Oryzias latipes: one gene and its partner. The protein of the gene in region 2 interacts with the protein of the main gene of each other region in a pairwise test. Links are inferred from orthologs where the notes say so. Each region holds a gene or a part of one and is shown on either strand. Other genes may lie near its edges.

Region 1 (3,754 bases), on a different chromosome or scaffold from region 2:
AGGCGTGGCAAAAGACCCGGGGCCTGTTTCAGAAAGGAGGTTAAGTGTAAACTCTGAGTGCGTTAACCCTGAAATCAGGGAAACCCTGGGTTTTCCGTTTCAGAATGGGAGGTTTGTTAAACCAGAGAAAGCAGAGTAAGTCAAACCCGTTTCTGAAAGAGAGGTAACTTCTACTCGGAGTCAGTGTCCATGGTTACTTACGCTGTGAACCTAACCTGGTCGGGAGCAGGTTTTATTCTCCAAACTCGAAGTTTCTGCCGGTCCCCTCCCCTTTTTAAAGACGAAGCGGTATGTTTCGCTTTAACCTTCATTGCCCAAATTTCCGTCACACAGAGACGGTCTACGTGACAAGAATGGCTTGTTCTTTTTTGGAGGACCCAATAGACGAGGAGGCTGCATCAATTCGTAGAGAATTATATTTACCTTGTACGAGGATTTTGAGATGACTCGATTTTTTGTCATTTCCCCATACGTTTTTGTTTGAGCGTTACCGTTTTTCATTGCAGTCAATTCCACATATACAATGAAAACAACATTAGGTATTGCTATGTAGATGTTTCATATGTCAAATATTGTCAACAAAGCCTACATCAATGACATGCTCAAATTTGACCTGATTGATTTATGTTTTTATACCTCATTTTTAGCTGCTGCCATGTTCTTTTAATTCCTGCAGGATTGCATCTACATGAAAATGAAATCAGGGACATTGAATTAGATTAATGTAACAATTACTTTTTGGAAACACAATTTGCTAGCACTGCTTACTTTCTTAATCCCGTATAAACCTATACCACTTGATCAATACAAGGGTAGTGTTGCAGTGTGTGTGTGCTGAGCGGGGTGCGATCCACGATAGACAGGGGGAGGGGCGATTGCAGGTGCAGATGGGGGGGGGGGGGGGGGGGCACGGAGCGGAGGTGTGTGCGTGGGATATATTGTGTGTTCGGAGGACGGAGCACTTAGTTAAATAAAGAGAAGGTGTCATTCCCAGAATAACTGTTTTGGAGTCATTCTTAATCCGCTCTGGAGGTTGAGGGTTTCCAACGGGAAGTGAACCCCGAAGGAGAATTCCCTTCGCACGGTCGGTCGGAAAGACGAGAGAAAAGAAAGGAGAAGTCTTCGCGCAGCGAAAGGTTCAACAGTAGACAAAAGTTCACTTTTAAAAACACAATTGCATGTATTAATATTAAACTGACCAACGTTTGCAAGAGGGTGAGGTTAACAAGAAAGTCCTCTAAACATTACCGACATTAAATGCATTTTTCCCCCAGATTGGTTCTGTACACTATGCAGCATTTCATGCAATTACACCAGGAATAACACTTCAAAAGTACACCTAAATATCCCCATTTTTTATTTCACACCGTACGCTATTTAAAAAATTATTACAGTCAATATTTTATGACAATGATTTAAATGCAAACTTAGGCATTAACTTGAGCAGCTATGTTTTCCCACGCTAACTGTCTCTGTTTTGCAGATGCAGCGGTGTTGCTTTTCTTCTGGAATAATATGTGCTCATATTCACTGTAACTCTGCAGCAGCACGTCAAGTTCAGCTGGCGAAAAATACGCAGACCTCTTTTTTTCACGGTTGCCATGGTGACTCGTGATATCTGCGCTCCATTGATAATGGCTTCTTATAGACGCGGTGCGCACGCTTAACTCCGAATCAGTCCACTCAGAGTTGATTGATCTAACTCGGATCAGCTTCTCTGAAACAGAAAACTCAGAGTTGTTAATCTCCCGATTGACCAACTCGGAGTTCAAGTTCAACCTCAGAGTTGGTTGAACCTCCTTTCTGAAACAGGCCCCTGATTTGACTGAGTCTGAGGTTCTGCTTACCTTCACAGAAGTACCACCCTTGGGAGCCTTATCTTTCTTTTCGGCATCTGCACTTCCTGCAGCAGCTCCTACACAGAATACATCACCAGAACATGAAAACAGCGAGTTGACACTATCACTATCACTCATGAATCACTTTCAGAAGAAGCAACCGGAAAGCCTTATTGTTAATAATAAATACAAGACGAAAGAAAGATTGGGTTACAAATTAATGCTGTATAAAACATGCGGGCTTTCAAACATCAAAATAATTTGGGATTTATTACGAACGACTAACCTTTACCACCCTTACCACCTTTCCCTTTTGGCGGCATTTTACATAAAACAGAACAGAATTACCCAGTAAAGAACCTGAATAACTGATAGCAGCGTACACTCATGCTATGTTATGATAGCATGATTTCCTTCTTCTTTTGGTATATTAGTTGAAAATCGCAACGATCAAGTTTTAGCCCTGCCCCCTGGTGGCCAAATTCAGAATTGCAGCAGCTTAGTGGTTGAAGCAGGGAACAAAATCCTCTTGATCAGGAAAATCCATTTACTGTCAGGAAAACAGGGAATATTTTACCACTAGTGTTTAAATATACTACTGTGTGTCAACAAATCCCCCCCCAAAAAAAAAAAAAAACAAATCCCCCCAAAGTCTTCTGTAGTTCAGTGCTTTTTTAACTCTTTTTTTTTTTCAGCCAAGGTCCACTGTTTCCCTGATAAAAAATCACAAAGCACACCACCAACTGAAAATGGATAGTAAAATAAACTCTTTAGTCTGTATTAACGGGATACAAATCTTCTGATAAAATAATCTTGAATAAGAATCAAATAAACATGAAGAAAATAAGTATCTTGTAATCTTTCATTATTCTTTTAAACTCTGAACCTGTTTGGATAAAGACAAAGATAATTTTCTGACACTGGTAAATCTTTTTTAGACCAATTATGTGAAACTGAATCCTTTCCCGTGGCACACCTGACAGTCTCTCACTGCACACAGTGATTAAAAACAGTGGTTCCCCATCTTTAAAAAAAACGTTGATGTCAGAGTTCCTTTCCTTTATTAATATCAATATTCTACTGTTTTGGTTCACAGAATTGTCAAGCCCGCACATACACACTCAAGCGTTAGTGACAGTGCCGTAAAAACCACACTGTCTAGCACACACTCACAGACCACCAAGTGTTTCACACATGTAGTCTCATTGATTGGGGCATTGCTCGATGACACATTGATGCCCTCCTCTGTCTTCCTGCAGTCATTCACTATCCGAAGGAAGCAATGATGATGAAAAACTATTATTAAAAAAAACAAGCAGATGATAGGAAACAATGAAAAGAAACAATGCAGTGAGTAACCTAAACCATATTTTACTGGAACAAATTTTTTTTTCTTGCAGTCACTTTTGCCCAATTGCATAATTCCTACCAGGGGAAATATTTTAGATTTTTTTTGTCTTGAAATAAACATGTTTCATAAAAACCAGGACCAAAGAATAATTGACAAATAAAAATGAAAATACCTGTGCTTCACAATCATTGCCTTTTTATCACACTAGTTCTTCATGATTAAATATATGACGTGCAGCAGGGCAGCAAAGAAAGATTTTCTAAAATACGTTGATGATCTATGATAAACATTGACTGAGAACTAGACTGAATGAACAACCCCCCAACAGGAAGTACCTGCTGGCTCCAAGAAGCCAAAATCTCATAGCCTTCTATTGAGAAATAAATAGCTGTTACTCAGTCATTCTATTGGTCAGAATGACCATTCTTGTTCTGATACATTTTTTAAACATGTTTTTGCCCATCCTATTTTCTTTCGTTATATATTTTTTTAATTGCAAGTTATTCAAGTTATACACTGACCAATCAGATGCAACTTTTGATTTACAGATTTTCCCGAGCCCACT
Region 2 (3,754 bases):
GAACATGAGATTATAGTCTGTTTAATATATTGAGAATTTGTGACCATACTCTTAAAGGGAAAACATAAACACACTGATGTTGACGAAGGCAAGCATAATCAATTTTATAAAAGATTACTTTTTAGTAGCTGGTGTATTATAAAAAAAAGCCTCATCTTTATTGAAGTATACTCTGTTTATCAAAAAGCATTCTACAAGTTTTAAATATAAAATAAGAGACGAACCTTGAAGAGTTTGCGTGAAAAGTATAAAGCTGTGGTGGACAGAATGATGTTACTACAACATGCCATCCACTCTGTTGACGCCATTCAGGAAAGCGCGCCGGAACACAAACCTGCAAACACACCGGAACTAAAGTGACAATATTTTTACTTAAAGTTCAAATGAAACTACTGACGCTGCCCCTTTTTATAACTGGACTGAACAGAAAGACTAAACTTTGGGGCAAGGAGGAGCAGAACAATGTTTGTGTTCACACGTGACAGAATGTCTTCAGAGCACTGCGCATGCTCCAAAGGAGGCGTTCAAAGTCCCTTGTAAATTCTGAGACGTTGTCAACCATATTAATAATGATCAAACTAGCAAAGATCGGTTAACACTTTTTGTTAAACGTTATTTATTCTTGTTTTATTGGAAATATAATTCTTTGTTTAAAAAAAACATTTTAGGTTCTGTCGAGTAAACGAGTAAATCGTTATTTTTAGGTCGCTGTTAACTACTAAAAAGTTACCATTTTAAAGAGGGTTTTGTGTTAGTGTGTGACATACTCATGCGACAGAGTATTTAACTGAATTTTTTCCTCATAAATTTAAAACTTTACTCCGTTGCACACTGACTGTGTTATTTTTGTTTCTTTCATTGAAGTCGTTTTTTCACGACAGCACTTGAAGGCAGCAAAGTTTGAAAAGTATGGCGACGGAGTGTCTAACAACAATCTCAGAGCAATGGATACGCGACAGATTACAACTAAAACATCCGTGTCTCGGTAAGAGTTTCATTCACCTGTGCATTGGAAAAACAAAAACCCCGCGTAAAACATTTTTTCTGTCTGACTGAAAGCAGATTAGCTATTCAAAGCTATTTTATGATGAACCGTCATCTTTTGGTCATTCATTGTTGTGTGTTTGATGCGCAGGTGATGTCCGGTCACTGAGCCTCCCAGGAACGTTAGAGGAGAAGATTGGACATCTAGGGAACGCTCTGAATAACTTCATTCGCCTGAAGTCTCTGGATCTTTCCTACAACGCCCTGGTTTCTGTGGAGGTTTGATATTTTTAATTTTTCTTATATTAAGAAAATACTTTATACTATAAAAAAAAGTCTCTTCAGAATTTATATTAAACTGATTTCAAATCACAGTCATTTTTTTTATTTTATTTCATGTGACTATTATTTCCATTGTTGGATGAATGCTTACAAATCTGGTTCCTGTTCTTTCTTTAGGGGCTGCAGCATTTAAAAAAACTGGAGAGGTTGATTCTTTATCATAACTGCATACCATCTCTTGAAGAGGTGAAAACTCTGTTCCAGCTTCCTGTTTTAAGAGAGCTGGACCTCAGGCTCAACCCTCTCACCAAAAACTGCCCACACTACTGGGCTTATATCGTGCACGCCTTGCCCAGCTTGCGAAAGCTTGGTAAGCTGGAGTCATCTGGGCCTGTTTTTGTGACTGTTTTCTGTCAAGTTCCCGACATCGTAATGAGCTTTTGGGTTTGCAGACAGCTGCTCGGTCAGAGAGACGGAACGCAAAGTTGCCATCATGCAGTTCTCCTCTGATCTTCCTCCTCAGCAGAAGAGATGCTCTCTGAATCTGGCTGAAGATCAAAGGTACGCCGAGCACAAAATCAGTTTAATGCACAAAACCTTCTTAATGCAGGCTTTAAACACCAATCTGGTCTAAATTCAGAAACTGTATGGAGCTCAGATGATGGAAATCCAGCGGTATATTATAAAGCTGCAATACACACACTTTTATCTCAAGGTTTTTTTCATCTTGTTTCATCCTTTTGTAATAAATCTATTCGTTAATTTCCATCAAACCTGCTTTCTTAAACTAGCTTGTTATTGAAGCCTGGAAGCATCAAATATGTGGTTTTTAATGTATATTTCAACCTTTTAATTAGTTATTTCTCTGTTCTGTGCCTGTTGCTGTCAGAAGCAGCAGGTTTCGTCTGGCTTTGGTCGACCGTTTGACCAAGAGGCTGTCACTCTCAGCAGAAAGTCAGGATATTGTGTTAAACAGAGTCGAGGCTGACCTTGGAGACCAATCTAAAAGAGTCAGCGACTCCGTTTACAGGAAAGGAGAAGGTAAGGACCCTTAAAGGTAATTTTTAATCACACCAAACCTGCTGACGTTCTTTCTTCACGTTGAAACCTTATTCTAGAACCCAAGGAGGAAATATTACAAAATTTCACAGAGAAGAAGAGTTCAACTCCAAAACAGGTGACTTTCTTTTTCTCCATGTCTGATTAAAAAAAAATAGTCACCCTATGCTTGCATGAATGACGGCACCCTTTGCTTGTAGGAATCTACTAAATCCATCCTCAGATATTCACCCAATATCAATGGTAAGTGTGTTTTTGGGTATTTATTTAATGATTTAATTATCTGTGTGTATATCAGAGCACTAGTAAGCAGATGGATTGCAGCAGTTGCTAAAGCAGCTAAAATGTATTTAAGTTGGTCTGAATAAGAGATTTTGTAAACCAATTCATAATGCATCATATTTTTCCCTAACATTTAAGGAAACAGTTCATGGCAATAAAAAGAGATTTTTGGTGGTGTTTGCCTCATTGTTGACTAACTATAATATTTTCAATTGTTTAAGCAGAAACATAAATGTCCACCAGGGAGAGCTAGATGTCAACTCCATAAAAATGTCTGACACTAAAAGATGAAAACATATTTGTGCCTTTCTGTGAATTTACAGATGTTGTTGTATCCAGAGGGCTACAGATGAAGGAGACACCTCCAATGAAAAACTCTACCTCATCTAAAGTAGCTGAAAGGCCTAAAGTGTCCTTCGGTCCTTTTGTAGAGAAACACAGTGCAGACAGAGGACTTCCAAACCAGAAGCTGTCCTTTAAACAAATCAGACACGAAGCTAAGGGCCATTTTACTCCAAACCCTGGTTATATATATATATATATATATATATATATATATATATATATATATATATATATATATATATATATATATATATATATATATATATATATATATATATATATATATATATATATATATATATATATATATATATATATATATATATATATATTTATTTATATTGTGTATTTAACAACTGCTATTTATTGTGGAATTTTGCCAAAGTTCACATTCCTCACTTCCTTGGAACTCTGAATGTACATGACTTTTTCAGATCAAAGCCAGTGTCGTAGCACCTCATTGATCAACATCCGTCCTGCCAGTCCACTGCAACCCGGTTTGACTCTGTCTGAGTCCTCTAACCCCATCTTACACCCTGCAAGACTCACCTACTCTAGCATCAACACGGCAGACGGGAGCAGCAGCCTGAAACAACAAGCTGGAAGGAAAAAAAGGGTTAACATTCAGTTCAGCTCTCCGACTGATTTATACTCTAAATCATAAACCTTTCTTTATTTATGCAAGGATCTTTTTATAGAAAACTTACAGCCTCTGCGAATTCCATTCTCAGGGTACTTACCGGAAGCCCCTGGAGATGCTTCTGAACCTCGTTGACAAACACTGGAGGGGCGAGAGGTCACT

Evidence for each region.
Region 1: the proteins of cep72 (region 2) and pin4 interact in binary tests that used the Homo sapiens proteins (3 or more experiments, as listed by UniProt). The two-hybrid records come from large-scale screens. The link is inferred for Oryzias latipes from reciprocal best matches to the Homo sapiens genes CEP72 and PIN4.

What each region holds. Positions count from the first base shown.
Region 1 is NC_019868.2:20,374,519-20,378,272, forward strand, and holds the start of pin4 (peptidyl-prolyl cis-trans isomerase NIMA-interacting 4), read right to left. Parts: upstream 2,270-3,754; 5' UTR 2,162-2,269; coding exon 2,125-2,161; intron 1,916-2,124; coding exon 1,848-1,915; intron 1-1,847.
Region 2 is NC_019874.2:16,684,562-16,688,315, reverse strand, and holds the start of cep72 (centrosomal protein of 72 kDa), read left to right. Parts: upstream 1-817; 5' UTR 818-909; coding exon 910-985; intron 986-1,135; coding exon 1,136-1,263; intron 1,264-1,443; coding exon 1,444-1,636; intron 1,637-1,718; coding exon 1,719-1,827; intron 1,828-2,155; coding exon 2,156-2,307; intron 2,308-2,384; coding exon 2,385-2,443; intron 2,444-2,525; coding exon 2,526-2,568; intron 2,569-2,930; coding exon 2,931-3,131; intron 3,132-3,386; coding exon 3,387-3,568; intron 3,569-3,683; coding exon 3,684-3,754. Other genes in the region: uncharacterized protein LOC101162471, read right to left, coding at 225-308. UniProt on the Homo sapiens protein: Involved in the recruitment of key centrosomal proteins to the centrosome.